4 linked regions of the Drosophila melanogaster genome follow. The protein of the gene in region 2 interacts with the protein of the main gene of each other region in a pairwise test. Each region holds a gene or a part of one and is shown on either strand. Other genes may lie near its edges. The genes, in order: Aldh-III, CG11379, CG32579 and CG10591.

The links.
Region 1: the proteins of CG11379 (region 2) and Aldh-III interact in a two-hybrid assay, tested with the Drosophila melanogaster proteins (one large-scale study listed by BioGRID).
Region 3: the proteins of CG11379 (region 2) and CG32579 interact in a two-hybrid assay, tested with the Drosophila melanogaster proteins (one large-scale study listed by BioGRID).
Region 4: the proteins of CG11379 (region 2) and CG10591 interact in a two-hybrid assay, tested with the Drosophila melanogaster proteins (one large-scale study listed by BioGRID).

What each region holds. Positions count from the first base shown.
Region 1 is NT_033778.4:7,472,635-7,481,587, reverse strand, and holds the start of Aldh-III (aldehyde dehydrogenase type III), read left to right. Parts: upstream 1-4,425; 5' UTR 4,426-5,341; intron 5,342-6,028; 5' UTR 6,029-6,093; coding exon 6,094-6,148; intron 6,149-6,207; coding exon 6,208-6,246; intron 6,247-6,928; exon of another isoform or gene 6,929-7,016; intron 7,017-7,457; exon of another isoform or gene 7,458-7,744; coding exon 7,745-7,866; intron 7,867-8,241; coding exon 8,242-8,300; intron 8,301-8,953.
Region 2 is NC_004354.4:1,176,281-1,184,023, reverse strand, and holds CG11379 (uncharacterized protein), read right to left. Parts: upstream 3,860-7,743; 5' UTR 3,761-3,859; coding exon 3,155-3,760; 3' UTR 2,473-3,154; downstream 1-2,472. Other genes in the region: CG14627 (uncharacterized protein), read right to left, coding at 1,110-1,922.
Region 3 is NC_004354.4:16,319,322-16,327,810, forward strand, and holds CG32579 (uncharacterized protein), read left to right. Parts: upstream 1-3,964; 5' UTR 3,965-4,146; coding exon 4,147-4,376; intron 4,377-4,452; coding exon 4,453-4,608; intron 4,609-4,757; coding exon 4,758-4,888; intron 4,889-5,127; coding exon 5,128-5,280; intron 5,281-5,334; coding exon 5,335-5,744; 3' UTR 5,745-5,799; downstream 5,800-8,489. Other genes in the region: Cyp1 (cyclophilin 1), read right to left, coding at 758-1,015; CG9917 (uncharacterized protein), read right to left, coding at 2,727-3,632; CalpC (calpain C), read left to right, coding at 6,613-7,346, 7,421-8,489.
Region 4 is NT_037436.4:5,595,179-5,603,076, reverse strand, and holds CG10591 (uncharacterized protein), read left to right. Parts: upstream 1-3,384; 5' UTR 3,385-3,419; coding exon 3,420-3,456; intron 3,457-3,517; coding exon 3,518-4,419; 3' UTR 4,420-4,520; downstream 4,521-7,898. Other genes in the region: TM9SF3 (transmembrane 9 superfamily protein member 3), read left to right, coding at 1-5, 123-1,087, 1,144-1,288; Alp9 (alkaline phosphatase 9), read right to left, coding at 5,938-7,491; Alp10 (alkaline phosphatase 10), read left to right, coding at 7,867-7,898.

The sequences.
Region 1 (8,953 bases), on a different chromosome or scaffold from region 2:
TGATGATACATACATAGCTAACACTCCTTCCACGAATAAAGCAAGATTGCATTAAATGCGCAAAACAAACAAAAACCATAAAATCTAAAAACTTAAATCGAAAATCTTAAATCTAAATCACTAAACTAACCTTAAAAAAGATGCAAAAATGCCGACGGCTCTACGAGAGCGGGGTGGCAACAAAAAACATATACAATATTTATATACACGTAATATACACCAGAAGAAGGCAGAAGGCAAGAGGGGGCAAGAAGCCACATATTAGAGCTACATATATAGAGTAGATATCGTAATTATTTTACACCTTAGTTTAGCCAACACCACCGGGACAGAGATCCCGGGGACCCACACGATCGCCATAATATACTCGTAACCTCATTTTATCCAATCGTACACCTTGAAGCGCCGTTCATTTCTTGTGATCCAGATCGAATCATTCAAAACACTACTCGCACACAAAGCGCATGCACGCAGAGCATCCCCAAAAAAATCGCATGTACTCATATATATATATCATATATATATCGCATCGTATCGGGCCTAGCGACATCTGAGAAAATGCCATATTTTATATTTGTGTGAGATTTACTAAAACCAATACTAAAGAACTAATACTTATATCATTACAAATGAGCGCCGTTTTCTAAAAGCCACAGTTTAGAAATTGTGTAAAAAATAAAACAAAACAAAACAAACAAAAAAAAAACACACGTGAGAAAAAGAAACAAAAAACATTAACTACAAGCGAAATGAAGAAATAGGGAGGAGACAATTAAAGAGATTTAAGCGAATACCGAATGCCATAATTCAAAATAAAAAGCATTTAAACGTAACGTATATATCTATAGGATAATGAGTATGTTAGACACAACCAATTACTACAAGTCATGAGGATACTGAACAATTTGCCAAAGGCTAAGAATCAAAAGGAGAAACCAATAACTTACATAACCACTACACTCAAATACACACATTCAAACGACAGATAGTTAAATAACTTTTACAAAATACATACCAAAAATACTTAATTAAATGCAAGCAGGTATTTTTTCAAATAAACCGAATATTCCAAAAACACGTTGCCCAAATACACCTACGATTAATTCTAAAGCAAACAAAATGCTCATATACACGTAGCTACTAATGTAATAAAAAGAACACTAAACGAATCCAAAACTTAAATCAGGTATTCACATTTTTTTCGTATTACTTAGACTAAGATAAAGCGAGTCGGCGAGCCGCCAGCCTGACTAAATGACTAAAATCATCGTGAGATGATTTCAAAGATTTTTCAAAGATATAAGGAGGATGTAAGGAGGAGCGAGCGTTGCAAGACCCACATATGTAACTATTTACTAAGCCACGTTTTATAACAAACATAACAACAAATCGATCGACGATGCTAAAGCAAACGGAATGAACTCTTATCAAAATACAATTTTGAGTAATACTTTTAAAACGACAAATGCAAAAAACAAAAAAAAAAAAAAAAAAAAAAAAAAAGCAATTCTCGGCCAGAGCAGAGAAACGATTTCACTACCAACTAAAAAGATCTTTAAAATTACGTACTATGCATACATACACATATATATTTTGACGCGATCATTTAGCCATTAAGTTTCTAAGAGAACAACACCCACGATTATAACTAAATTTGAAAGCATTTCTCATTTGGAAATTATGAACATAAACATACGCATACGCAACGCATAAGCATACATACATACATACATAAATACACGTACATAACATATGTAATAATTATGGAGCAATTGAGTACAAAACGAGTACAAATTTAAATTATAAGCCAGATCGGAGGACACACACGGACACACACCGCTTAAGTTAAACCATACACGGAGCAGTTGAAATATTGATAGGCCAGCTACTGGTTTCGCATAGCAAGTACAGCATGTACTCATATATTCATATTCATATTCATATTCATATTCGAGCGGAGGACTGGACTCAGCGAAATAGCCAGCATACTAACCACACATATAAGCATAGTCGCAGTACATACATACATACATAGTTACTTAACATAGACTAGCCTAGACTAGCCCGCAAAACTATACATCTACATATATATCTAGGGCAAATGATTACCAAATTACAAATTACCAAAATCCCTCCTAGCCCGCTAATCTAAATCTCATCTAGTTTGATTTGCTCTCGATAGATAGGCGAGATCGCGTTTGGCACACCCAAAAAGCATCTCAAGCATTTTCACCCACTCAGCATTCTGCATTCTGCAATCTGCAATCTGCATTCAGCAGTATTCAGCATTCAGCATCAGCGTACATACATTCATATGTAGGGGCGTGCGGGTACTAGGTACACCCACCAGTAAGCAGCTATTAAGTCCGAGTAAGGCGATAAATCGAAGTCTAGGAAATCTACCAAATCAAGCGACGGATTCAATAACGAGTTGCAGTTTAAAATTGTAATTGTGTAGTAGTGGAAAGCGAGGAGGAGGTCAGAAACAAGCGCGGACCACGGGTGCGCCACCACCTGGTGGCTGCGTGGTCTGGCACTTTTCTATATACATGCATACACATACATATTTATATACCCGAATATATATATATATATATATACAAGCGTACATAGGTGTGGACTTGACGAGACAAGAGTAAGAGTATATTTTATACGATAAACAAATTTTATAACATATTTAATAATAAATTATACACTAATAATTGTGGACACTGCTCTGCGTTTTTTTCTATCTCACTTGAACACTTGAGTTCCACAGCGCAAGCCTAAAGATAGGCTACTGTATCTCACGGGTGCATAAGAGTTCAACTAGCTAATGGTTCCATATGAATGCTTACAATGGATTGGTTGAATTGAATTGAAATTGAATGGGAACAATCAATATATTTCTGGGTTTTGAAGCCAATCTAAGGTAAGTAACGTACTCCCGGTTGGAGCTCGAAAAACTGAGCGAAGATGTGGATTGCATACGATCGTTCAATGAATCTTAGAATGGATTGATTGAATACCTCGATATGTAATCATGATTGTGATTGAAATTGATTCGGAGCAATTACTTCAAGTCATTCTACATATCTGGTTATTAAAGCCAATCTTAAGTCAATTATGGGTTTCAAACGTAATTGAAACATTATGATACCTTCGAATTGGTTGATAGAATGATTAATTTCAATCTTAGTTACTTTCTGACACAAAGATAAGGCTTTAGCCCATAGATATTTACTTCTCAAATGCCAGCATCTTTAGCTGCCTCGTTTAATGGGTGATGCCGTCACGCGGACCCGGAACCTGGGTCAAGGCCACGCTTCCATCTCCATAGAGCCCACATACATGCGACGCAAATGGGTTGCGGGCATTGTCGAAAAAGTGCCGAGCGGCCATTAGAATGACAAAAGGAATCGCTAAGTACGCCGCTGGGCATAATGAGACTTGGCGAGGCAACTGAAAAGTTGGAATACTATTTGGAATCGCATCAATTGCGTGACTACAATTGCGGCAGCTTTGTGTGCAAAGAGCACCATTCGAAATCACTTTTACAATTGTTTGCTGGCCGTAAAGTTGGGCAAAGCGAGCCAAAGTCCACCGCCAGCTGGTAGCGACCAGCTAATTTCAGTGGCGAGAACAGGTAATTACGGCATTAGAATCCGGACTGATATGCCAATTGGCAGGTTTACTGGACTAAACGCGATCTGTTTAATGGATCTCAGCTCTCGATCTCAAGCAGACGACGTCTGGCACTGAGGTTTTTGTCCGGATCTCATGGTCAGGGTGCGAAGCTGTCCGCTGTGATTCGATGCAAGTGAATACTTATCAATAACCGGTTATTTATTAGCCGTCACTTCACTTGCTGGCTTCTGCCGCAAAACAGCTGCTCGAAATAACAAACACCTGAAAGGCAAATAGTTTATTGTTTACGGGACGATCTTTAGCCTGGCTCGCCCTATTCCTAATTGGCTAGGGCATCGGGTACAGGCTGCACTGCCTAAATAGAACTGATGTCAAATCTCAAATTAAAACTACCTTCATTACAGTCATAATTTCTGGTCAGTAGTTATATCTTGTGCCCTTAACTTTGCTTCTAAATAGCATTTAAAGAATGTAACACTTTTATAAGAGTTTTTTTTTTGCTGTAGCACAGATTTGTTACAACTTTACTTCATGATAAAAAAAAACGAGTCTAGTTGACGAACCCAATAAGTTGCCATGAGCAACTATCAAAAATGTGGATTTAATTTGAGGAAAAACAGATTTTCGCAGGCGCCCAGTTTGTAAATTGGCAGTTGGTGGTTCCAGTTTTTCCAATTAGTGCCACTCTTTTGCAATGTGACAAACGCCTTTTAAACGGCGTGTTCGTTGCACAGAAGCCGGACTGTATCGTCATTCGGATTAGTAGAGAGGTGGCTGGCATCCATCACCATTATCTGGTGACTTTGGGCCGGGAATGCGTGTGCATCTGCGACCTGTGATTAGCGCCGAAGACCCCCATTAAGAAATTCAAATCAAAAGTCGAGATTTGAGATTTAAGATTCGAGATTCGAGATAATCAAGAACGCGAAGAAAACTGAAACTGGAAAAGCGACGACGACTGCGGGTACGGGCCAACTTGGAGCGCTTAGCCGGGCTTAGACGTGTTTCGAGCGCGGCGGCGTCAGGTGAATCCGAGATTCAATCCTAATTCGAATTCGAATCCGAGTGCCCGGTGCGTGTTCAATACGCTTTTGAATACAGCGACTTGTTTGCTGGCTAATTTTTTTTTTTCGAGTGGCGGGCTACGCATACAAATTAGACCAGCACATAGTGTCCATGTGTAATTAAGCGACCCGATTCACTGTAAGCCGCTCCAGCCGAAGTGTGGTCGAGTGCATCGGTCCGGCTTTCCGCCTCCAGATACACGCGGCGGTGGTCAACGGCCAGTGGCCACTTGGCAGTGCTCCGCCACTCAAATCAGTTGGCTTTCGGGCGTTATCGCGCGCAGATTTGCTTGGATTTAAACCAAAGTACCGGATAGTGGTTATTTAATCTACACTCGCGCTTATTAGCCAACTGCGTTGACAATTAGCCGGCCCAGATGCTGGAATGAAAGTGAAACTGGAGACGGAAAACCGAAAACCAAATCCAGTCGAAGTCGGTTACATGATAAACGCCATGTGAATATGTTGTCATACAGAAACGTGATCCCCTGTGCTAATCAATTCAATTCGCATTGAATCATCGAGTGTGTTGGCCAACAGCCATATTTGCATGGTTGAACTTGAAACTGATTACTGATTATGGAGTGCTGGTGCATTTGGGTGTTTTTTCATTGATATATTGTTGTTTCAGCTTTTAAAGACTTCAAATCGTAAGCTTGAATTGTATACGATTTGTTTGATCATTTGCAATTATTTTATTATGTTTATCCCCAAGTCAAAATGTACAAATATTTATGAAAAGGGATCAAACACAGCTGCACTTTCAAATTAATAAAGAAATTGTCGAGTGTCACGACTATTAGATATCCATTACTGAGCGCGAAGAATTCTACTAATAAATACGCAGTATCCAACTTGCTTGCTATTGTAGTTTCCCAGAATTTCTTTTACATTTGATCCCTATAAACTTGGAAATTCTATTAAAAATTCGACTTATAGAAATCCATATTTTTACAAGTATTGTTGTAAACTATTATTCGTAAGGAAGTGCAAAGTTGTGCCATAAACAATGGCGGAAAAAATATTACAATCTAATATGAATACTAGAAATATTGATCATCTATTGTAATATTTCTTGTTTAGACAATATTTCAATCTTTAGTTCACCTTAACCAATTGGCGGGCCAAAAAGCTTGTGTAAGTCAATGTGGAATTTGTGAAGGATTTCGCCAGCTGGTTATTTAATTGATTTTCCCACGAGGACAACTTGACAAATTGACATTGATTTTCATTTGGTTTGCTTAGTTAAGTGTGCAATCTTCTTGTTCGGACATTTGCCACTTAATAGTTAGTAGTTAACCACATTTACCACATTCGTTTCCTGGGAATCCCTACAGCTTTTGTGCTATTTAAAAGTGTCCCCAATAGCGAATTTATAACCAAACAAAAAAACACTACGATAATGTTTGACAACGCGATTAAACCTCATCCGGAGGCCAATGGAGCTCCAATAAATGGTAAGCTAATGAAAGTCTTACTTATCAAAATGCCCGATTTTATAGAGTTTCCGTTAAAGCAGCAGGAGATCGGCCGATAACTACTGTCATTAATATTGGTGAGTCAAAAAGTTCGTATGCCACAAAAGCTTTGCATACAATGTGTATAAAAATAGAAGCAGTACTCAGAGGGTGAAATCTAGTTTTTCCTGTACAGCTTAAAACTTGATCAAAAACTAAGGGGTTTTTAAATTATATGCATTATTGTAAAGTCCAATAATCTTAATAATCTTAATAAGCGTGAAAGCTTTTATAGGACACGCATGTAACATCATTATTTAGCTAAAAATAACTTAAAATCCTCAAACACATTTAGTTTCACTCATGGTGACTCCGTCATATATTGTTTAATCGCACTCATTGTTATATGTCATTTGTTTAATCGGAGTCACCGTTACCAAGCACTATTATCGGAAAGTATAGAAGTGCGATATATAAACAAATGCGTTCGGTTTAAAGTGGGGAGTGTACTATGTCCAACTAATATTAACACCATTGATATTAGCAGATTAGGCTGGAATAACGTTCAGAATGCTCTGAACTTGTGTTAGCCGAGTCCAAAACATACTGATTCGTTATCGGAGCGACACGCTTGACTTTCCCCATCCGAAATCCAGTGTCCATATCAGTTGGTATATAGCTTATGTATGTACATTCTGAACGAAATACACATGCATTCAGTTCTGATAATGAATGCCAGCGGCCCTAGTCGAGTATATGTTCGGTTCGTGGAGTAACAATCCACTCAGTGTCGACCGGCATTTGCGTTGAAAAGGTGTGTTCTGTTCTCGGAGAGATTAAAATAGCGAATTCAGAGTGTTTTTTTTGGGTAAGCCAGCTGTTTTCTGTGCACCGACTGGATATGCTTATTTATGGTGCAATTAGGTTGCGCCATTTAGTGAACAACCAGTTGTTTTCGTTGGAAACGAGTATTACTCTTTTGCAGTTGTGCCAAAATAAATAAGTGTTTGAAAAACTGTTACGTGTTTGCATAGTTTAAGTTTACCGCTATGGAAAGTTACAGACTGAACGACATTAGCAAACACTGGATTAGCAGTGACATGAACCAAGATTAACTTAACACTTACTATTGTTTTACAAATAAAACGAAAACTTAAATGTTTACGCCAATAGACTGTAGTTACATCCCGATAATTTTTAAAGAACCACTTTAAACTTTATTATTGTCGAAATTTACGACTGTAGCTCGTCTTATATTAGGCGCCCTTTGGCACTTTTTAGCTACAAATTCGAAGCCCAGCGCGGTCACACTGGCAGCAAGTTTCGCATTCAGATCCGATCCAAATCTTGAAATATACAAGTTTTGTTGTCGCGGTGAACGGTTGTCAAAGCGCGTCAACTGCATGCGTTTATATCTTTTTTCTTCCTGCTGACGGTACCGAAAAGTACACATAATTTTAACAACAAACAGAAGACGCACAACCGAAACAACGGTAGATGCGTAACGAACGAAAGTGAAAGAGTGTCAGTGTTGTTTACATTTGCCGTGCCACCCGCTCCCGCTCACGACCCCTTTCCCTTTCTCCTGAAACGCAGAACCAGAACCAGAAACCGAAAGTCCAATTGGGATCTTCACATCACAACCGGAAAGTCAACAACAACAACCCGAGCAGCTCCAATCCGAATCCGAGTCCGACAGAATGGCCAATTTTGACGATGTGAGTGTCCAATTAGGCAATTTATTGCGAGCGAGAGAAAGAGATGTGTAACGATTATTAACTTTAACTGACACATATGTTGTTAAATGTATGAACGAAACACACACAGACGAACTCCGTGCACGTAACGAACATTAAGCGCCTTATTTTAGTTTGATTTTGATTTGATTTTTATTTGAATTTTTCGCCGCTTCGTCGTTATCCTCCCGTCTGTATGCGTGTTGCATGTTGCTATTGCTATTGCGTATGTGAAATCGCAACTGCCTCCTACGAACAACCATGACAACAACTACAACATCTACAACAACGTTGGTCGGACTGGAAACTCCAATTGGGATGGCTAACGAAAACAACAAAAACAACAACAACGACCAGACGTTGCAACGCGCCCGCCTTGCCTTTTCCAGTGGAAAGACCAGGAATGTCAGCTTTCGGTGAGTTTACTTTTATTTCGGCACTTTATTCGCTTGCTGTCAGTTAATTTTTTGCAAAGGCTCCTCGTCTTGGCCAACATATTGCGTTAAAACTGCCGCTTGAGTGGAGATTGTGTCATATATTTCGCTGATTACATTGGTTGGGAGGATCTGGAAAGTGGAAGTGGGTTAACTTCCAGCAAGCGGGACTGGAATTAAAATCGCCGTGGAAGTTATTTGAAATCTTCACATCTTCATTCTATTCCGCTTTTGTTTTGAATTTCATTGATTTGTGATTTAATTTTTTTTTTAATTTATTTAACTCGATGCGGAGTTTTGTATAATTTGACATTTATCTCTTCTTTGGCTTTAGATGACTTCTTTTAATCGCATAGTTTGATTTTAATATCCACTTGGAAGGTACATATATTTTTATCATTTGTAGTAATGGGCAATATTTTAACATTTTAATATATGTACATTATTTTCCATGCGGCTTGGAGGTAGGATTAAGATTTCAGGCATTAAGTCCCCACACCGAGCTTTTATGCGAAGTGATTTCCCAATCCGCTGGCCACCGTATCTCTGTTTGCTTTTATGACTGGGGGGCCATTACAAAGCCATTGCGGCAGGGCAGTCAGCGAACTAACTATGTACGTACATACATACGATCT
Region 2 (7,743 bases):
ATAGTGAATAGAATTCCTCACGATCTAATAAAGTCGATCTATTATATTGATTCAAATGGTTTGCAGGGTGCAAATTCTTCTGAATATTTTATTTACAATATTCTCAAGCTAATTTCTATATAATTTGTTATCGTACAAGCGTTACATAGAAATCTCGCAAACCAGAAGTGTATGCCTTTGTCGATGTTTCACCGGGGTCAGGCCTTTAGTCATTTGCTCCACTTAATGCGGCAAGTGAAAGATGCTTTGGGCTGAGCGCCCCTTTACTTACTCCGCGACTCGGAATAGAGGCAATGATGGCCCTATTTCGATTTGAGCCAGTAAATTCCAAATAAATTTGTCAAATTGTGACAATTAGGAGTAGACAGACCAAATGGCTGGCAGCACTGACGCAACTCCAAGGTTTTGTGGCGCAGCACACACTCTCCAACTGAACCATACTTAACCGTCTCTGTTCCGGTCGGGCGCGAAATAGTGTGTTTTGGTCACTTTCACGCAAATGAAAGAGAAACAAAAACAATGGCCTGCATTCTGCACAAGACCAAGACGACCTTCGGCTGGGGGTTCCAGCCTAAAAGGTGTGTTTGTTTGCTCACTGTCCCCTATTTGGCGCTGTGCAAATAAACAGTCTAGATACGATAACGTCTGGATTTCATTTGTGTTTATTTGGGTTTCGTTAGGTTGGTTTGTTGGGTCTTCTTAGCACGGCGGTGTTTGGGTTGGTGTGAAAACGAAACGAAAGGTGGAAGGCCGCTGAAGAACGACACCAGTGACTCAGATAAAAGGGAGTTATGTAAATTGAATGGGAAGCAAACTGTTTTGCCATATGTGCTATATACTGTCCATTATACTGCTGCTTTTTCCATTATATTAATCGCGGCTCTTGAATTATGGGAAAACCAATTTCTAAAATCACAAGATGGTCGGGTAGGTTGTACTCGTATCGTATTGTGTAACATTTCAAGGTGGAAAGGCTTAGATTGAATTGAGTGGGATATAGACTTGCATAAAATAATCACAGGCTCACTTTACATATATACATATAAGGCTTTATTCCGGAAGAGAAAAAGAGGCTCGAACGTTGCGAGACTTTGGCGGTAGCTGACATCCTATGACCTGGTCCGCAGATACACATGTGGACTATTGACGGAGGCGTCATGGCCTCCGGTCAGTCCCAACGAGGCGGCTGGCAAGTACTCGTTGAGATTAAGCGAGAACGAGGGCGGGAAGTGTTTGTCCTTGGCCTCGCGATTGATCCGATAGGTATTGCGGAAGGCGGCGGCTGGATTGATGGACCCACTGGCGTAACCCTGCAGAGCTGCGTAGTTGGGCGGCAGAGCACTCAAAACAGTGGCCGTTCGTCCTCCGAAGTCTGGCTGTGCGCCGGCGGAGATTGCAGGTTGAGATCCGCTGGCTGCTGCGGCAGCCGAGAGGTACGGCGAAATGGGCACTATGATCGGGCGGGTGGGTATCAGCTGAAGGTACTGAACCGAGTTTCCGGATCCATCCTGGATTGCCTGGGCCGGAAGATACTGCATGAGCATGGGAGTAGACGGTAAACTGGACACACTTGGTGTTCCCGCCGTTTGCATGGGCGTGAAGTTGGTCTCCATCTCGGGCATCTTGTACGAGGGCTTGAATGCCGGATCCGTTTGTGATGGAATCTGGCCCTGAAGCTGATTTTGGACTTGAGCCTGGTTCTGGGCCATGTCATAGCCACTGGCATAGGCACTCAGCGAGTTCAGGTGGGCCTCCTGTTGCTGTTGCTGCTGCTGTTGCACCTGTGGCAGGCCATTCGGGGACTTGGAACCCTTACTAGCTATCTCCGGACTCGAAACGGGGGAACCCTGAAGTAGGGGCATCACCAGGAGCTGCAGCAGGAACAGCTGGCAATGGATGTGAATGTGTCGGTGGCACAGCATCTACACGTAGCGAATAAGAGAAAAGTTAAGGGATCGTGTTCATGAAAAATATTTGCGATAATATATTTTACTTGTTAACCCAAAGGATATTATAAAATAACATTTTGCTGCTTATACCCGAAGCTGATTTTCAGGACGCGAAGTGCATCCGAAATGGAAAAATTGTATCGTAAGCTGCACTTGTAACTGAACTATATCTGCTATAGCAGCTTAGTTAATTCTGCAACACGAAGGTCAGATATTTTGGAACACCTTTCGATTTTATTATAAGCACAGAAAAAAAAAGTATGCGTATTTCACCTCGCTGAATTTTCTCTGCGATTTGAGTTTGAATGCTGCCTGGGAGCGTGGAAAACACTTGCACTTTTCCTGGCGAGCGACGCGCTTTGATTAACACGGCTGCATTGCCAGCCAGGCTTTTATATCGCTCGACGACCCGACCAATTTCCCGCAATTGGCAACAGGCTGCGGCTGCAGTTTTAACCAGTGCGAAACACGACAGCGCGCCAGCAAGCAACAGCATTTGGCTGGCACTGCCTTGGAAGCATTTCAGCGGCATTGTTGCGTGTGCCAGGCTCTTGCATGTCGCTAGTTGCAAGTTGCAAGTTGCTAGTTGCCAGTTGCTATTTGCTAGTTGCCAGTTGCTGTTTGCCGTCGTGGTGTCCATCGCTTTTGGCTACGCTTCAAGTTCAAGTTTACAGCCATCGATCGCGCATCAGAGTAATGGTTTCGTTTTCGCTTTCGATCGACTTGCTTTGCTTTACTTTGAGCCGCTGGGTTCCGTCTTCCGAATCCGAAACCGAAACCGAATCGGTTGTTTGGGGGCGTGTCGCTTTTGGATCTCGGATCGGTCCTCTTCCGCATTGCATATGGGTACGGCTACGGCTAACGAGTTTACAAGTCTTTTTCGGGGGGATGACAGCCCCCAGTGGTTGGCAGTTTGGCCGGTAGTTGTCCGCTTCAAATTGGCTTCATGGATTCGGTCAGAAAGTGGTCTTGCGATTTAATATATGTTCGATTTTTGAGTTTATTTTTTTCTTAAAGAAGCTAAAAGAAACTACGCTTTGAATCGAAATTTACTATTATGGTTATTCATAATTCAATTTATGATGCAGCCCGTTGTGTCCCACTGTGCCTATTAAAACGCTTTTAGTATAATTTGAACCATAAATTTAGCTATTGACTGAGGTAGTGTGATATGGCTGTGGAAGTGGAATGGTCACCCCTCCGTCTCAATTGGCAAAGCTCTGTGCGCTTCCCTGGGATTGGGTCTGCATTGGAGTGCCGGGCTCGAGACTTCCGAAGATCAGCGCGGAGCAGCGGCGATGAAGGGTGCGACGCCAGTCGAGCATCCCGCAGCGGAGCTTCTGGGGCAACGCGGTGGCCCATAGGGAAAGCCACAGAAGACATGCGCCGATCAGGCCGGTAGTCAGGCCCAAAGTCCAGTACTCGCAGACCAGGAAGGTTTGCTCCTCGACGGCCAAGGCCTGGAGTATGCCCACAATGGCGCACTGGCAGAGGGACTCTATGCGATGCCACAGTTTGCTAAGGGTCAGATCCAGCACCAAACAGCAGACGCCTGTCTCCAGTAAGAGCGATGCCCAGGACGACTCATTGCCGCGAAGGTTTCGATTCCCATTCCTGAACCGCTGATCGGCGGGCAGGGCACTTGAAAACATCCTCACCCCGTGAAGAAGGGTCACCACGCAGGCGGAAAAGAGCCAGGCGCCCAAGAGAGGAGCAGCGGAGCCGGGAGATTCGCGAAAGTAGTAGTAGTACGAGATGCCCAGTACCGAGTGAAGCAACACCGCCATGATCAAGGCCATTAGTCGAGCCATCTCCAGATGTCCTCCTAGGTGTACACTTCCAGTTTTACGGGAGTAAATTCGGGTCAGAAAGCCTTAAACTGAATTATTCAACTGACTTTTAAAGCAGCAGTCACTACTTGGTTAACTCCGAACACTTGTGTACAAGTATTCCTTGTTATTTTAAGAAGTGATACAAAAAGCAAGTTGTAAACTCTGTTAAAGTTTTTAAAGGCAATATTTAATATATTCGATGTTATCTTTTCAATTTATAATTTATATATTATGATTTATACAGCATTCTTGCGTGGCAGAATACCCCATCGGTAATGGCATAGGTTTCCTCTTTGTGTAATCACAGTCACTGTCTGCGTCACAGTTGAAGTCACAGACACCGCGCCAATTGCAATTATCACCACAAGTCAAACAGGCTCAGATGTCAAGGCCTTGTTTTCCTCATTTTCAGTGGGCTCATTACGTGAGGCAAGTGGAAATGGGAAATGTGCTCGATAGTAGTCAGCTTACTTTCATTTTTGTTTCGGCCAAAGCTTTGCGGCTCCAACTTTTGGACTTTAAAGCTTGAGCATGATCATGGAGAAACTCATAGATAAGCTCTTCCAGATCTTTATATGTACAATAATATATATGTACGTCTGGTAAACCAAGATGATTTATAAAATGATTAGGCTGGTTGGCATGGAATAAAATTTCTTGCATGCACTTGCTCCGCACTGTTCTCTGCCGACATGACGTCCCAATCCTGGTGATGCTGCTCCGCTTGCTCTGTCAGCAAGTCATAAATCTTCGGCTTCAACTGAACTTGATACATCAAAATGTTGGTCAAATTAAATTTCTTGCGCCTCGTCCTTTCCCGCACAGCTCGCCCCCGCCCCGCCCGCTGCTCCTTGATTCTCCCAGGGATTTCACTAGGAGCAGCTGCCAAGTAATTCGTCAAGCTGCTTTGTCCTCCTCCAGCGGCTGTTCTTATCTCATCTCTGGGTGAGCATTGTTGCTCCGCTCCTCTGTGCTGTGCTGTGCTGTTCTGTACTGTTCATCTGTCTGACTCCACCACCTACCAATCTACCTACCGACCTACCACCCCCATCCCTGTATCCCTGTATCGCCCCGTTTTGGCTGGCTTTCATGTCAACTGCATTTTTCTTTTGCTGTGTTGCTTGTTGTGTGCTGTGCGCTTTTTCACTGCTTTAAACCACTTAATGGGTTTTTTTTATGTGGACCTGGGTTAGATGGAAAAGCGCAAGGAGTGGGAGGCGGCCTGGCGGTGCCTCGGGGCTATTCATGCTGCAGCTTTCTTGTAGCTTCATTCACAAAGACTTGCAATTCATCAAATCTCGTTAGCCTCGGCTTTTATAGAAAATCTGCAGCTGCTTTTGCTTCTGCTTTTCTTTTCGGGGTTTCGGGGGGCTGTGCTCCTCTCATTCATCTGCCACGCCCACGGACACGGAGTGGGCGTGGCCGAAGCTTCAGCACCGATTCGAATCCCCGTCCGCATCCGCTTTACCATTTCCAAACGGCATCCTATCCTCTGGGATCCTCTGTCATTATTGACTGGCAACGACTTTAAGGCAACTTTTGTTCCGCTCCCATGCGCTTAACTTTAAGGGCTTTACCTTCTCCACCTGAGCTGAGCTCCGATCCATGCTTCTTCCTTTGAGCTAATGAAAAGTGTGTGTCTCCCAAAATGGAGTGGAATCCTTGCAGCTGCAGCTTGCATCATCAGGCTCTCCCAGCGAATAGCTCGTCTAAATAAAAGTAAACCAAAGCTCTGCCAAGGAGCAACAATAAACGAGTTGGCCAATGCATTTTTAATGCAACCAACCACCCAACCACCTGTACAAATCCGTTAGGGAGGAATGGGGATGCTCTCGAGGTTCTCTAGGTAGCCTCAAAAATGTTTCCAGAATTGGGGCACATGTTGCCACCACATTGCGATTAAATGACCCTTTTGTGCTTCCTTCACAACAATTTTCTGGGATCAGCACTATGATTCGGCAACACTGAGAGGTGTGGAACATGTGGGTAAATAGAAATTTGTAAATACGAAGAAAATCAGTTATTCAACACTGGTCTGGTGTGGGACCAACACTGTTCGCATAATATATGCATTTGACTCACCTAGCAAACAACGCGCTACCAATACTGTTTTGTCTGTTAGCCAAGTGATGGCAAAGCATTTGCGCCGCACTTTGGCTAAGTGGGAGAAGGCGAGCACTTCGAGCTGGGAAGCAGCTGCTCCTGGGCACCTCCAGCCTGCCACCAACTCAGCCTGCTTCTTCATTTGCTCCCTCTTGGCAAAGAGCCCCATATCACGCACAGGCAAACATTGCAAGGACCCCAAATGCATTCAATTAACAATTTCTCCGGCCCTAGACCTGGCACACAACTTTGCTGGCTGCTGGAACTGGGAACTAAAAAAGTGGGAACAGGAGGCGGTGGTGGCTTTTAATCAAAAACTTGCATTTGCCAAGTGGCAGGGCAACTTTTTGGGCCAAGTTTGTGCGGCGCCAGAAGTGGGTAAACTTCTCCAAATTGTGACGTCGACAAAAGTCAAATCGTGCCGACTCGCAGCACCCTGAAGGCCTCACATGTTCATGACGCTGCACGATTGCAATCAGGGGAATGTGTTTTGGGGTGCGGAATTAAAAGATACCGTATTAGAAGTACCATGATGCAATAATATAAATTAATATATATTTTTTTATATCAACCCGCCCGCTTCCCGCTTCCAACAATATTGTATCTACATATGATCCAGATTATTTCTAATGACCTATGCATATGCGAGTGATTTACGAGTAAATACAGTTGTTGCTTGCATGCGCGTGAATTAGGGCTTCATTTATGAATCATAATGCAATCATTGATTACGATTCGTTACGCGTTGTGGCAGCAACCATTCTGGACGTTGTCAGTCAGCAAGTGAATGCCGTAAATTGCCAGGAGGGGACTATAGACAGACTCTGTGGAAATTCGAAGCATTGCTGAGAAATGAGCGTAACCGAAGCCAAACACCCGCATGGAGCAAATGGAGCTCCACCTTCAGGCCATCCCCACTCGTTTTCCCTTCTGTTTGCCTCGCCCACTCCATTTGAAAAGTACTTTTAAAGGACGAGGACGTGGAGGGGTTGGGATGGAGGATGGAGGATGGCTGGCGGGCTCGTGCCATTTAGCAAAAGTAATTAAGCGTCAATGCGTTTCATTTGTGTTACTTTTCTGGGCAATTACGGCGCAAAGTTTGCAGTTTTGAAGTAGTGCGGCGCAAAATGTTCATTGTTAAAGCCAGACCGACTCACCAGACGACGAAAAAGATTTTATTCCGCCGCGCGAGAATCGATCGCAAAAAGTGGATACTTGGTGTTTGATATTGCGTCAACAGGTGAGCCCAGCGTCCTGGACCGACAGACTGAACTGTCGACTGCTATCAGCGTTTTCTACTCCATCATCATTATGGTAACCGTCATTGGGGCTCGGAAGCAACATTTTACCAACTACCGGGAATCCGTCCACTGGCCACTGCAATGTGCTAAAAGTGTTTCTCATTAAAAAGTTGTTTCACAATTTTATTATCCTGTCGTTACCGAGGTATTTGTAGTCCAGAGTCCGTAGTCATCTCCCTCGACTTCATCCTTGTCCTTGTCCAGGTGCTCGTTGCTTCAATGTGACAAGCTGAGCTCAACCGGGGTGACAATGTCAATAAAGCAAACTTCGCACCCGGCGAAAAGCCCTGCGGACCCCCCTCATAAAATAATTTTTAAATTACTTGTAAAAATAACAGCTAAAGCAGGAGCAAAAAGTTTCAATAAAAGTAGGGTAAACAAAAATTATAGCGAGCGGGAGGAAACAGAACGGAGCAAAACAAAAGCATTTACGATGCTCAAGGGATGGAAACCAGGAATTATCGTTGCATAGTTTGGCGGACACAATTTACACAGAAATTAAGCTTTCACAAGTATTTTTACTCTGCGTAAAAGCGCGAGACTTTGACCGCAAAGATC
Region 3 (8,489 bases), about 15 Mb from region 2:
CAGAACTCGCGCATTCACACCCGAATATCTCTGTGTGTACACTGTACATCTGCGCGTACATTACCCGCATGCACACATGTACATATGCAAGCACGACAAGAACATACAGACATACGCGAGTGACCGCTTAGAGGTTATGTTCGTGTATTGATCTGCATGTGTGTATGGGTATGAGCCACACATACGCAGACCACGCCGGAATGTACATATATAGCACACATGCACAGATGCATATAAAATACCGGTAAAAATTGCACACCATTTCGGCCAAAGTTTGCCGACACGTCAATTAAAATAAGGAAAATTCCATTCTATAAAGATAATACCACCAAATGGCCGATTTGCGGGGGTTGGTGCTCCTGCTTGCCTGTTTGCTCAAAATTCAGCGATGTAGAGATAATTATAGAGATTTTCCGATTAAACGCGCCTGTCCAATTGGGTTGGAAAATTGAAAATTTACCCATAGCGCATTGTCATGCAATTAGTCATGGAAAGTAATTGCACTTGTCGCTTATAAATTAGAGGGCGAGTTTGCGCTGTGTGTATATTTGGTACAAGTTTTAAATCCGTAAAAATAAAAAGAAAAAAACGGTATGTACTTATCACCTGAGGCAAATAATGTAAAACACAGTCTTAGCTTTAGGCGTAAGAAATGGCTTTATGGGAAATCACGTGTTTTTCACTTTCTGGTCAAATGTCACAAAAAAAAAAACCTCAACTTAAGTTTAAAATTAAAAAAAAAGGGCAAATAACTCACCTCCATGACGATCCGACCGAGGGGCTCGTTGTCGGCGGTCATATCAAAAAACACCCTAGGCAAAGTACTCATCTTTGACGCTTTCGAATATTCGCGAACAATCTGAATTCCAAACTGCAACTGACCCCTATTCACACTGCACGCTGACGAAGCTAGGGTTATAGATTTGTTAGCTAAAATGGCGGACTCCGCAATCTGAAATGCCGCTGCCGACCTGTGCCGAAACTGTCGAATCAGAGTTGCACAAAAAGAGACCATCGTGTATGGCTTGCGACCGCATGTACGATACTACGATATCGTTCCGTGCGTTCCATTCCGCGCGTTTCGCTGCTGCTGCGGTCGCAGCAATTGTTACATCACTTTAGGGCGCCCATAAACGCACTTTGTGCTGCCCATTCCCCCATCAAAACGGATAAATGGTCGCGTTCATGCGCCCTTTTTACAATTTTTATAATAAATAAATACATTTACTTGCGCTCATTTGAAACCGCCAATCGAAACAACGCATTCGCCTTCGTTAAGTAAATATCTTACAAAAAATTACAGCATCGTGATCAGCGATCACTCCTAAAAATCAAATATTTTTTTGCTTTTAAAGAGCCATTAAAATATAAAACTTAAAGTTGAAATAAACACAAGACTATTAAAAAATTAAGATAATTGAAAAATAGTGGTCACTTTGAAATAACCATTATTCTAAAACAGCACATTGTAAACCCAAAAATCACGGCGAAATCACAGGATTATTATAAAGACTTTTTAAGCATAAATTGTTAAAGCATATATGCAGCTATTTCTATAGCTTTTTAAAAACAAATGTATTAATTATTTTTATACATGTATTCATTATTTTAAATTACTTGTTTTAAATATTAACGTTTCGATAGTTCAATTGTGCGTGTCGCATTTTCTATTTTGCCATTTTAAACTATAGTTAATAACTAATAATAGTGTTTTACAGTATTAAGTCTTACAAACTTTTAAATGTAATTTGGAGAAACGATGGAAAATAAATAAATAAATATAAATAATTTTTGTTTAAATGGCACGATAAAAAATAATTGACCTAACAAGACAGCCTGTTTCAAAATTATTTTTCGATTACTTGAAATGATTGCTCACAAATAATCAGCAATTATCGGAACAATGTTTTCAAATTTGTTTTCCGCTTTTTCTCGCGCCTTTTGTTGTGGTTTTTCTGCCGCGAAATTTGAAAATGGCGTTCAAGGTGAAAACTAGTTGGTGATTCATTTCTGAAAACGTAATGAATGCAGCTGCACGGTCTCAACTACTCTGAGTACTTTTCACCACCTAATTGACCTTTAACTCCCAGTTTAAATGAACTCGTCCTTCTTTTTACATTTATCACTTTATTATTACAATAATGATACGTATATTCATTTACAAAACATATCCATTCATTGTTTTTACATATATAGCATTTCATTTCCCAAACCCATACCCGATCCACTATGAAATAGTGAGATTACCATTTGCCTCCCTCAGTGAATTTAAATGAAAGAGATTAATACAAACCCAACTCGAATCAGAACCGCAAGCCACGCCATTTCATTAAACGGAAATAAAGCATTAGATAAACGCATGACAAAGGCCAGAAGAATTTCTGATTCAGAAGTAAAACTAGAAGGAAGTATAAGCATTGTTTACAATACTACATACATACATACATCAATTGGCAATTAATTACATAAATTAGAAGCACCAAACAAAAACGATATGGCTGGCTAGCCTGGAGCAGCAGCACCTTGGCATGCTTATCCCCGAAAGCGGTTGAACTATGGACACCTGTTCCACGGCTACATGCATATTAATATAAGCGAAGCAAAAGCTTAAAAACAGTGATTATCGTGCTCTTTGATTAATCGCTTTGGAATGCCAAAGTCAAAGCGTTGAGAAGGCGTTTTACAGATTCGGATTCGAGATATATAGCGGACGCCCAGACTTAGAACTAAGAAGACTTTTGTAGAGCGAATCGCAGGATTAGCAAAAAGATGCCCACATGGGTCCACACTTGATGGAATACCCGACTCCCTCCGCTGGCGGCAGCCGCAACGAGCGGCGATTTCTGATTGTCACGGCACATCGTTTGGTTCCGAATGAAGTTGAACATGGACTCGACGAGATTCGCCGGTGTTATGTCCGAGCATTGCTCCAGTTTACGGACCACACACGCCTGCAGAGTCAGCATCTCGTCGCACTGTTTCTGACCGACCGTCAGCTTGGGCATGCTCCTGATGCGGTTGTCCTGCAGATCCGACACGTTCAGGTACTCGGAGAACGTGCTGTTCACGCACTGCTGAATGTTGTCCTTCTGGGACTCAATGCATTCGGGTCCCTTTTCGGCAATGAACAGGGCTATCTGATCGCCATCCTTGTGGCACACAAAGTTGAGCAGACTCTGGATGATCTGCTTAATGACATCCTGGCCCTCGCGCTCCTCCTGCACCAGACAGGGCACCAGTTTGGCCGTGAACGCATCCACACACTCGACGGCATTCGAACGCCGGCTGCAGTACTTGTTGAAGACCACATCCAGTTCGCCCTTGGGCGACGCTTCCTGTATCTCCTGCTGCATTGCCGTGTAGTTGACAATGCCATTGAGGCACTCGGTTAGCACCATGAATCCGGACTCGATCTCGCCGTATGCCTCGACGCCCGCCTCCTCGCCGGCCACCTCGATGCATTTGTTGCGAAATAGCTCCTTGGCGTCGTTCACGCTAAAGTTTGACTTCCTCAGCTGGTCGGGCAGCTGGGTCTGGATCTGATCCAGGTCTAGCTGGGCCATTATGCCGGCAGTGGCGAATATAACCAGCCAAATGGCGTATATCGCATGGCTTACATATGTCCTGTGCATGATGTTTGCTGTATTTTTTGCACTCCTCTTTGTCTTTTTGCTTGCCTCCTCTTCCGTTATTCTCCTTTGCTCTGGTTTTTAAGCTCTGAGATTTGCACTTTTGTTTGTGATTCTATGCGCTTCAAGCAAACATATTTGTTCGTTTTGCGAAATATGCCTATGCCTTTGGGCAATTGGAAAAAATTAATTTAATTAGGAAATCACTGGATGGAAATCCCAATTGGAGATTCTATCCCACCCGTCGGCTAGAGATGGCACTTCGTCGATGACGCTTTCGATGCAACAGCTCACTATCGGCTTTCCGCCGATAAAAGCGTACGATCGATCTATCTCTAGTTCAAATGAACAAGTTCTCGTAGAATTCAGTCTTTATTCTAATCTTCAGTGTTTTGTTTTTTTTTTTAGTCGAAAACCAGTGTCAGCAAGTTGAAGGCGAGAGTAGTTTGGAGGTCGAGGCCTTGGATATTTGTGTGTGGCTAGGGTGGCACATGTGCAATAAGGAGGCGGAGGAGACATGGCCTCCGCGGAGCAAAGAACCGAAGTGGACGCCCTTATGATGGGGCCGATCTCGAAACTAAGCATGCTGCTCACTGTGGTGTCCATTCTGTGGCGCTTCGTCTCGATTTGCATCAACTGGAGCCTGGCGTACGTGTACTGGATGGAGGAGTCCTACGGATACTGCGCCTGGACCATTGGCTCCATTCTGGTGCCCATGGTGGTCACATCGGTCATATATATACATACGTATGTGACATATCGCGATAGCGTGTACTTCCCCCGAAATCTACAGCTAAACGATAAATTTGTATTTGAATTTCAGCTTGAAGAGCGCTCATGCCGGCGAAAAACGCATCCTGGAGCGAGGGGTGTACTCAAATGCTGTGATCTCATATCTCTTCCGCGATGTCTATGTCCTAAACTATGCGTTCAAATACTCGTTGGCCAAGGAGCGGGATGACAAGCAGGCGGAGATCGAGTGAGTAATGCTAGTGTCAGTGTATAAAACTAGTTAATAGTAGCTTAATGCCCTAAATGGTAGTACTGCCGTTTAGTTTATCTTCTCTTTTCATCATAAGTGAGCACTTTAGAATGTTTATAACGAATATCTGAATTCTTATCTTACAGATATTACCAAAAACTCATGACGGAGGAGTGCAATGTTAGTTTCGTTCGTCTATTCGACTCGTTTTTGGAATCAGCACCGCAGAAAATACTACAGCTGGCAATTCTTTTGCAATCGACATTGGAGTTCACATGTAATACGATATTAATACTACATTAGTGCCATATTTCAATCTCTCTCTCTCTCTGCCTTAATTAAGATAACTAATGCATAAGTAATTTAAGCTTATAAACACCAAATTCTGACGTTCACTTTCGCAAATCAAAGTCAGTTTAGGCGTTTAGCCTAACTCATTGATTGTAGCCAACGAAAGTGAAACTCGGAATGGAAAGTCGATGGATGCCATTTACCCATTCAAATTTCTTTTCCCAGACTACCGCCACATCGCCCTGATCGTCTACTTCGGCAACATAGCGTGGTGCATCCAGGCGTACAATCACTCCAATCGCCTGGCCCAACTGGACAAACATGATATTGCGGCGAAGGGACGATTTCTGCAATTTCTCTTCCTGCTCTGCCTCACTGGTTAGTAGTAGTTAGTTAGCTGTGTTGCTTAGAATGTGTATATTAAGCTTTTAGTTATTCGCTTTTATTTCGTAGTTTCGAGAACGCTTTGCATCGCGTATGTGGCCAGTATTTTTCCCATCGAAACGCTGATCATCTGCGCGACACTGGCTTGCTTTTACGGCACCATTGTGTTCTTTGTGGACTCGCCAATGATCGCAAAATCCCGCCCCATGAACTATTCGTACTGCCTGTGCTTTGGCGTTGTCTATCTATTTATTTTTACGCCCGTCAAGGATGCACCAACCAAATATAAGTACGCCTTCTATCTCACATTCTGTTTGTTGCAAAATATCATCGCCTGCGCTTTGTACATTCCCTTGTATCTTGCCACAGCCATCATTGCCTTGTATATTGTCGGAATTGTTCTGTTAATAATCTACTACACGTACTGCCATCCAAATACTGTGCGTACTTATTTTTAAAATTCTAGCATAATTAGTAGCATTTTGTATATTTGCAATAAACGTTGTTATGCCCACTTGTGATGCGCCTTTGATTTTCAATTGGCTTAAGCTGGTTTCAGATCTAATCTAATATCTAATATGCATTGTGTTTTTATTAGAGGATATATACATACATACATACACACATATGTATATGCAAATTTGATTTCATTTCTAGATTTTCTATCGATATTTGACCATCGATTAACTGATAGTTAGGTTTTAAATTTAGTTAGAACTTTTCTTTGTAGCGGAACATCAACTAAAGGATATATATAGATATATATAATATAAATGTGAACTATATGAATTGAATGTGACACAATATAGTCGCACATACATATATATGTACATACATCTATGTTTGTATTTAAGTGTCATTAAAAAGATGTCATATTTATGTGTTAATCCCGTGTACTTAATTTGAAGCGCTTACTAAATATTTTTCAAATGCAATGCCTTTCTGTTCAACTAGTTCCCAAATATTGATCAGCAAATGCATCATAATTGAATCGATCATTCCAGATGCGCATGCGCAACGCGCCAAGATGATGGAGTCGCGTATCTGAACTGGCGCATCTGGAACCAGTTGGCGGAGTCGGTGGCTGCGATGGAGTTTGGGGCGCAATTAAAACGGTTCCCGCAGATGAACCGAACGGAACCGGTTCGGGATCGAAGCTAGAGTTGGCTAAGCTAGTTGGCATTGTATATTTCATGCAGCTGGTTAACTTTCACTTCGGCTACGAGGGGCGGAGACCAAGGCAAATCGCAGTGGGACTACGACTAGCAGGCATCAGGATAGCAACTCGAAAGCGGAAGTGATGCAAAGGATATCGAAGCCCAGAAGATGGCATCCAAATACGAGCGCATACTGAGCGATTGCAGATCGAAGAACGTGCTGTGGGAAGACCCCGATTTCCCCGCGGTCCAGTCTTCGGTCTTCTACTACCAGACACCGCCGTTCACCTTCCAATGGAAGCGTATCATGGATTTGGCGGATAGTGGCTCCGGTGCGGTGGCTGCCAACAGTTCGGCGGCACCAGTGTTCCTCAACGAATCGGCGGAGTTCGATGTGGTGCCTGGCAAAATGGGCGATCGCTGGCTGGTCTCCTGCCTGGGACTGTTGAGTTCCCTGAGGAATCTCTTCTATCGCGTGGTGCCCGCCGATCAGACACTGGCCAGTGCTCACGGCGTCTTTCGTTTCCGTTTGTGGTGGTGCGGCGAGTGGGTGGAGGTACTGGTCGACGACCGTCTGCCCACCATCAATGGACGGCTGGCGTTCATGCAGCCGCAGGCATCCAATTGCTTTTGGGCCGCCCTGCTGGAGAAGGCCATTGCCAAGTTGCACGGCTCCTACGAGGCCCTCAAGTACGGCACTCGTTCCGACGGACTCACTGATCTCCTGGGCGGCGTGGTCCGGCAAATGCCCATCCTGTCGGACAACATCAGGCCACAGACGCTGAAGGAGCTACTCACCACCACCTGCATTGTCACCTGCTTGGCGGACAAGAGCGCAACCGTGGCCAAGAAGAATCTCGCCGAGCGCATGCCCAATGGGATTCTGGTGAACGTTAACTACAGGTAGGACATCCATCGATCTATTACCTTCTAATGTCTTTACTACTGCAACGACCATTTGCCATTGAAACTTACAGACTCTCCAGCCTGGACAAGGTGAAGACCCTGATGGGTGACTCGGTGCAGCTGGTGTGCCTGAAGGACACGTTCTCGAGCAAGCCGTTCGGCGAGAAGACGCACTTCCTCGGCGACTGGTCACCGATGTCCAAGACGTGGGAGCGTGTCTCGCAGGTGGAGCGAGCGCGTCTCATCCGGCAACTTGGTCCCGGCGAGTTTTGGCTGTCGTTCTGCGACTTTGTGGAGATTTTTAGCACCATGGAGGTGGTGTACCTGGACACGGAGACGTCCAACGACGAGGAGATGCTAAAGAGTCGTCCGCTGCACTGGAAGATGAAAATGCACCAGGGCCAGTGGAAGCGAGGCGTCACCGCCGGTGGTTGTCGCAATCACGAGTCGTTCCATATCAACCCCCAGCTACTGATATCCGTGCAGGATGAGCAGGATCTGGTAATTGCCCTCAATCAGCACACGGCCGTGGAGCCGAAGGTCATTGGCTTTACGATGTACACATGGGATGGCGAGTATATGCTCAGCGAGTGCCTGCAGAAGGACTTCTTCAAGAACCATGTGAGCTATCTGAACTCGGACTATGGGAATACGCGGCACGTTAGCTATCATACGCACCTGGAGGCGGGTCACTACGTCCTCATACCGACCACCTATGAGCCGGCGGAGGAGGCACATTTCACGGTCCGCATCCTGGGCACCGGATCCTTCCGACTCTCCTGCCTGGAGACGCAGACCATGATACTGCTGGATCCATTTCCGGCACTCAAGAGCACAGATGCCGAACGGTGCGGCGGGCCGAAGGTCAAGAGTGTGTGCCAATATGAGCCCGTGTACATGCAACTGGCGGATGAGAACAAGACCATTAACTGCTTCGAGCTGCACGAGCTCCTGGAGGCGTGCCTGCCCAATGATTATATCAAGGGTTGCGCCAACATCGACATCTGTCGCCAGGTGATCGCTCTGCAGGACCGGAGCGGCAGTGGTCGCATCACGTTCCAGCAGTTCAAGACCTTCATGGTCAACCTGAAGTCCTGGCAGGGCGTCTTCAAGATGTACACCAAGGAGAAGGCGGGCATA
Region 4 (7,898 bases), on a different chromosome or scaffold from region 2:
ACAGGGTGCGTATAGTTCAACTAGTTTTACTCCACAACTTTCAAATGAATCATATTCTATATAAATAGCAAGAGGAAAAGGTCAAAGTTTGATGACATCATCTTTTCTTTAATCTTTTCTAGATCCACTGGTTCAGCATCTTCAACAGCTTCATGATGGTCATCTTCCTGGTGGGTCTGGTGTCCATGATTCTGATGCGAACTCTGCGCAAGGATTATGCTCGGTACAGTAAGGACGAGGAAATCGACGACATGGAGCGAGATCTTGGTGATGAATACGGCTGGAAGCAGGTGCATGGCGATGTCTTCCGTTCTCCGCCCAACACACTGCTCTTCTCGGCGTTGGTGGGCGCTGGATACCAACTGATTTCGGTTGTATTCTGTGTGATCATGTTCGCCATAGTTGGTGAATTGTACACGGAACGCGGCTCCATGCTGTCCACGGCTATATTTGTGTATGCCGCCACCTCACCAATCAATGGATACTTTGGAGGATCGCTCTATGCCCGCCTGGGTGGACGCATGTGGATCCGACAGATGCTGGTGTCCGCTTTTACAGTTCCAGTGGCTGTGTGCGGCACGGCTTTCCTGATCAACTTCATTGCCATTGGATATCACGCGTCGAGAGCCATTCCCTTCGGTACCATGGTGGCGGTCACTTGCATCTGCCTGTTTGTCATCCTGCCCTTGACTCTGGTGGGTACTGTCGTGGGCCGCAATCTGGACGGCCAACCAGACTTTCCATGCCGCGTCAACGCGGTGCCACGACCCATTCCCGAAAAGAAGTGGTACATGGAGCCACTGATTATTGTGCTTCTTGGCGGTGTCTTGCCCTTTGGATCCATCTTCATTGAGATGTACTTCATCTTCACCTCCTTCTGGGCGTACAAGATCTACTACGTCTACGGCTTCATGTTGCTGGTTTTCAGCATCCTGACTGTGGTCACCGTGTGCGTCACCATCGTGTGCACCTACTTCCTGCTAAATGCCGAAGATTACCGATGGCAGTGGACGAGTTTCATGGCTGCGGGCTCCACGTCGATTTACGTGTACGCCTATTCCTTCTATTACTTCTTCTTTAAAACCAAGTAAGATGCCTTTTTCTAGCATATTATCCATATATTTATATTTCATTACTTTACAGAATGTTCGGTCTGTTCCAAACGGCCTTCTACTTTGGCTACATGGCACTCTTCAGCGGCGCCTTGGGCATTATCTGCGGCACCGTCGGCTATGTGGGCACGAATCTCTTCGTGCGCAAAATCTATTCCAATGTGAAAATAGACTAAGAGCCCTGCGACTGCAAACCCACCCCCAGATCTGTATATCATCCTAATCGATTAACAATTGTATTTATTGAGTAGAGTTTTAGTTCTGTTTCACAACTTTAGCTCCAGTTGGCTCTCCTCTTTTCGTCTCTTTGGGTTACCCACTTCTCATGTTGGTGTGAAAATGAATGCCAGTCCAATATATTCGCACCAAAGATAAAAGATTCAGTTTAACGATGTATACGCAAACTACATATATCACCTAAAAGGTTTACTTCGGAATTATAAGACTAGACGTTTCAAATGAGAAAATTTGGGAAAACATTGTGAATTAAAAGCTCTTTCTGTTGCATTTACGTTTTGCTAGTTTTAAGAGTCAATTAATCCTATACACTAATTTTTGGTTTTGTAATTTCTACTGTTCCATAAAATAACATTTCTCTACTTACTTAAATTACTAAGAAGCTTGCTTACACAAAATATTTGATATATTTCCGAAGATAACTTTTATGTCATATATGTGCGTATGTTACGTTGCATACGGTGTACATCGAGTATTTTATTTGAATTGTTTGCCTAGAAAACTTATCAATCTATGCAACTGCAACAAAATGTGACTTGAACTTGTTTGCGCCAATTAAGTTATGTACGATGCAAGAAATGTGCTGATTAGCAATAGTCGATAATCTAATAATAAATTCAATATATAAAACCAAAAAAAAAGTTTATGACAGTATAAGCCCCCTTCATCTTGGCCATTATCAGCGAACACACAGATCGTTTCACTTTTACTATTTTTGATTCACTCGGTAACATTGACCCTCAAATTGTTTTCCAATTACTGGGAGGCAAACAACTTCAACGGTCTTATCATCCCATTTATTAGGGGGCCAATTCTGGCACTTCCATTCGTTTTCTTTTCGTTTGGGAGCACAGGATGGATGGAGTACTTTGGGGTTATTCCATGACAACACCATTGATAAAGCCTTTCGGATTCTTGTCGTTAACTGATGATGTTCGATTTGTCTCAAGTAACTGAACTATGTTTATATTACGTATACGACCAATCACTGCAGTGTTTACACACAGTGTGTCTTATACCCTAAAATGTTTGGTGAGCTTTCCAGAATCAACTATATGAATAAATGACTTAAGTTGTTTCAAATACAAGCAACTTTCAAAAATATTATCAGTATAAGTACTGAATAATTTTCCTTCAGCACTAAGTACGTTTTAATTCAAAGTTTCGGAAGTTTGGTAAGATAACCTATGGACATACCTTTGAGATTAGCAGTTTCTAGTAAACAACTATTTTGAAGTGTATCGAATGGTTTCAACTGCTGCCACAAGCCACCCTTCATCCGGATTTACTTCTCTGCTTATCGGGACTTTCAAGAGGCCCAGTGTCATCATAGTTCCAGGGAACGGCGCTAGTTTGGAAGTGAACACCTACGGAGTGGGCACTCGTCCACTAATGACGCGTGTTTTCGGTGGGCTTTGTCTCGTCAATGGAATTCTGTGATAAGTCGGAAATGTTACAGAGCCTTTTCATTTCTAGCCGTGGTAGTGTGGTAACTGATTGGAAACATATTGATTTCGTAATTTATGCTAATTCTGGGCAGTGGAAACTGTAAAGGCGCTTGGGATAATCCCTGAAGAGTTTCCGTTTTGATGAAAAGGCAATTCAAAAATCTGGGTGTCACTTTGATGGGTATCGCCCACATTTGGTCACATAAACTCTACAATCTGATCACTGTTTATGACCTGATAGACAGTTGATGTATTTTTGAAGTTGTCCCGCTGATTGCGGCTGGCTGGCCAAGAATCAAACCGAGAACCCTGCTGACCCAGTTTAAAGGCTTGTCGTCGGGCCTAATGATGTTCGTGTATATTTTGTTGCATAAATTATCATAATTGTCACTGCGCCGACTGGGTGATGGCATTTTTCCTTTTGATCGCTTAGCATTTCCCTTTCGATGGTGGGTTAAGAACAGTTATAGAGATGCGGGAAATGTGTTTTCTGTTCGATCTAGAGATTATTTTGTATATTTTCTATGCATATTAAAACGTAGCTCTCGAGTTTTTCAGCTTATAAAAGCCGAATTCGAATTTTGGATCTCAGTCCGATCTGAAGAGAAATCCGAAGTACATCATGAGTTTTTTGGGACTCTTGGCTTTTCTGGTTGCTGGTAAGTTTATAAAACATTTATAAATTTTTCTACAATATTACAATACCATATATTCCATCAGGTCTTTGCTCCACCGCCCAGGCTTCGTTGGTGAAATGCTCTTGTGATCCTGGTCCACAGGGGGAACGAGGACCTCCAGGTCCGCCTGGACCTCCTGGCAATCAGAACGGTCTCTCTGGCAGTGGTTCTGGCTACTGGGGCTATCCACCCACAGGTCCTTACCCCCCAAATCTGCCTTTCATCCAGGGGCCTAGAGGCTTACCAGGACCGCCTGGTCCTCCTGGATATTGTTTCCCATGCCCAGCTCCTCCACCTTTGAGATCCTTTCCGCCACCGGGAGTTCCAGTCCCTCCTTTCATTTCCACCCCAGGTGGTGGCGGATTTGGTGGAGCCTCTGCATTGACCACCGCTGTGGGCAACATTATAGTGATTCCAGGAGGACCAGGAACGGGATTAGCTGGTCGCGCTCAGTTCTTCCACATTTCACCCGATGGCCAGGTGGTGCAGATCGATCGACCGCAGAATCTGCCCAGTGAACTGTTCGATACACCGGTGAACCAAGGTTCCGGTGCTCCCATTCCTCCACCGCAACCCACATCGTCATCTCTCTCGGGGATCACACCACCAGCAGTCCAAGTGCCACCAACTCAACCCACGCCCGGCGATCTGGGAGCCCAGCAGCCCACAATTTTGCCCGAGAATATGGAGGAAACTGTGTTTGCGGTTGGCAATCGCAAGGACTTCCTGCGAGGTAGCTCCGATGCCAGCGATTGGAGAAGGATTCTCCTCCTGGGAGAGCGACCCACCGATGGTCTACTCAAGGGCCAGTCCGTCCAGCAGCTCAGTCCCAACCAGCTCGAGAGCAGCGTGGAGAACTTCCAGAGGGCTTTGGTCGAACTGAAGGAGAAGTATGCCACGCTCATCCAACCGCGTAACTCAAACCAATATGCAGTCATCATTTGAAGGGAAAACTTAAGATTAAATTTAGTTTAATAATTTAATAAAAACTGTACTGATAATGTCTAAAAAGAATATAAATGACCATTTGATATGGAAGTAGAGGTATTAAGATGTCTCTTTTATGTCTTTCATCTATAGATCTTTTAGTTGTCTGACTTGTTATGTAGAGCTGGCACTTGTGTTATTCGTTCAAGCTTCGTCAACAAAGTACGATATCATTTCTTGGTATTTATAAGATAAATACGGATAAAAATAGAAATACCTATTCGAGGGTAATCCCCCAAAGAATTATGAATTACAATTGTCAACAGTCAATCTGCGTTAAATACGTGAGATTCACAAGAAAAATTCAATCGTCATAACATTGCGATGCCTATTAAATTTTTTTATAAGCATAATAGGCGTGAGTACTTAACGCTTTTTAAGTCTATCAAAACATTTTGAAAATCAATAACGATAATAGGAATTAAAGGTATCAATCCAATCGATTTGATTGGAATCAAGTTTAATTTGCTACAAATGATTTTAATTTAGTTGCAGTCATAACACAGTTAATCAATTTTTGATAGACTTAAATTAAATTTAACTTGTCATTGGTATTGTAAAAATAAAATTCCTTCGAAGCGGTGGGTAAACAATTTTAGAGTTAATTCGTTTAACGTCATTGGATACACTTTTCAGTACAGAAAAGCGATAATTTAATTTCTAAGAATTTGAACTTTGTCAATCAGATTAACTCTTATATTTAAACAATCCTTTTTTATCTTTTTAATTATTTAAGATCAGCTCTGCATAAAAAGTGTTTTGTATACTAGTACCCCACATAATATGTTTTACAGAATGGAACTTTGTAACGAATTTCGATTTTCTTTTGAGACGTAAAAATTGCATGTTCTTAGTCGTTTTATTAAAGTCCATCCTTTTGCGTCATTTGTCTGTACAAAGTCAAAAAAAAAAAAAAATAAGCCACTTATCACCCATTAACGTTTATATTTAATCAGAAGTACATATTTTGTTAAATGTGGTTTTTCTTGGAAGGAATGCCCCATGCATAGCAAAGTCCAATGCGTATTCATTTGGCTCCACAAGTCCTACTATCAAGATCTTAGAATCTACGAATGGAAAAGTACCCATTCGAAAAAATGGTAAGTTGTTAGATAAAAATACAAAAAAAAAAAAACAAATTCCTTTCTCATTTTTCAATCACACCACTGTCAGTTAGAAAAAGTCGCAAATATAAATTGTTCTTATTAATATAATCATATTTAATCGGCCAGCTATTGTCTGCTTATAATCAGACACTATAAGTACATTTGGTTTTTTAACATTGATAGGAAAACGTTTATTGAAGTATTGATTTTAGTAATCCCCGATCGAATTTCTTTTCTCGAGAGCCGCGTGTTCCAGCACCTGTCAAATGTTGAGTATTCATTTAAAACGATAAAGCGTACGTGAGAATCGTCTAGTGGATGCGCTAATTAAGAGTCCTTCTGTCCGTCAATCATCGCCGGATTGGGATTCCTAATCGCAAGCGGTTAGTCCATCGCCCACACAGGCAGCGAATGCCATCATGTGAGGAATGGTGTTCTGTTCGTAGACGCCAGTGAAGAGATGTGCCCAGGGTCCCGAGGCGAAGACACCCACATCCTCGCCGCCATGGGTCTCCGATTCAAGGGGCACCATCGCGGGGAAGAGCTGATCGAAGTCTCCGATTGTGGGCAGACTGGTGGGATCCACGCGCTCGTGGGTCTCCGTATTGTAGTAGTCCTGGAAACTCTTGCCGTTGGCATAGCTCAAGGCCAGATACGGTTTGCCATCCTTGCCATTCGCCTTGGCAGCTCCAAAGATGTCGCTTCCTCGTGGTTGATATCCCGAAACGCTGAAGGTGTGCGAGTGATCCGAGGTCACCACAATGAGGGTCTCCTCCGGGTTGGTCATCTCCCTAGCCTTCTTCACCGCCTTCGAGAGTTCAGCGGTCTCATCCAAAGCAATTCGTGCCATTGTTTCGTGGTGGCTGATGTCGATTTTACCTCCTTCAACGAAAAGGAAGTATCCCTGCTCTTCGGTTTCCAGCACTTCAATGGCCTTCTGTGTCATCTCCTCCAAGGTGGGCTCATTGTTGTCCGGATCGGCCAGTTGCTCCAGATGATAGTGCATGTGGCTCTTGCTGAACAGGCCCAACAATCTACCGGTTTCAGTGGCGTTCACATTGAGCAGCTTCTTCTGCGTTTTCACAAAGGTGTTGCCCGCGTCCAAGGCTTCGAATTCCTCGACGAGATTACGACCATCAGTGCGCCGGCCCTTGTCGTAGTGTTCCGGACTATAGAAGCTTCGCTTGCCTCCACCCAGCATGACCTTGAGTTTGCTGCCCACCTCGCCGTGAATCAACTGGACAGCTATGTCCTGGAGTCCATCTGACAACTCACCGCAGGCCTCCTCGAGAACAGCGTTATTCTCCCATTCACGATCGGCGACATGGGCGTAGACTCCGGATGGCGAGGCGTGGGTCACTCGGGTGGTGGTCACTAGTCCAGCAGCTTTGCCCGCATCCATGGCCCATTTACCCAGGGAGAAGACATGGTTCGTTTCATTGGCCATCGCCGCACAGTCGCCTCGCTTCACATGCGCATTTACGCCGATGGTTCCGTAGTTCGCCTTCACTCCGCAGAGATATGAGGTTGAGGTACAGGCGCTATCGGGGACTATTTTGTCCACCGAATAGGTTTTCGATAGTCCGGTAAAGGGGAATTCTTCGAAGGAGAGCTTCAACTCCTCGCCTCCAATGTAACTCCTGGCAGCAGCCAGAGTAGCCAGTCCCATGCCATCGCCCAAAAACAGTATAATGTTCTTGGCCTTCTTGGTGTTCCTCACGAACTCCAACTTTTCGCGGATGAGTTTTTTGCTGGCCGAGTGCCAGAACTCCTGGGTTTCCTCGCCGGAAATCGTACGCAGCCTGGGACTAGTGGGCAGATGTGGATGCATTCGCTCCTCGTCCACGGGGGCTCTTCCAGGAACCGCTGCACCCCAAACGACGGTCAGCAGACCGAGGCGAATCCAGAACTTAAGACTCAGCATTTTCGAGATACTTTCACCGTGCCAGCCAAGTGAATACTGTACTCCGTAGTTCCATGCGACCCATTAATATACCATCAGGTGCAGCTCGTGTGAGGAGTCGATAGGGCAGTTTGGTGGGGATCGGGTAATTTACGACACCTTCTTAGCCAGACCGTGATACTCACGTTTTTAGGCACTCGAGATAATTAATCGATCGCCACTTTAGATTGCTCAAATCACAAAAACAATCACCCATAACGCGTATGTATATTACAGGAAGACCGCTTCGATAAATCGGAGGCTATATAACCGGGCCATTTCGTCAGTTTTGGCCAGTCTCGCGGTTACTCCCAAACGGAGCATTCCTCAGTTTAAAGTTACCGCCCCTACCCCAAAATGGTAAAGAGTTGCCTGATCTTGTGCTTCTT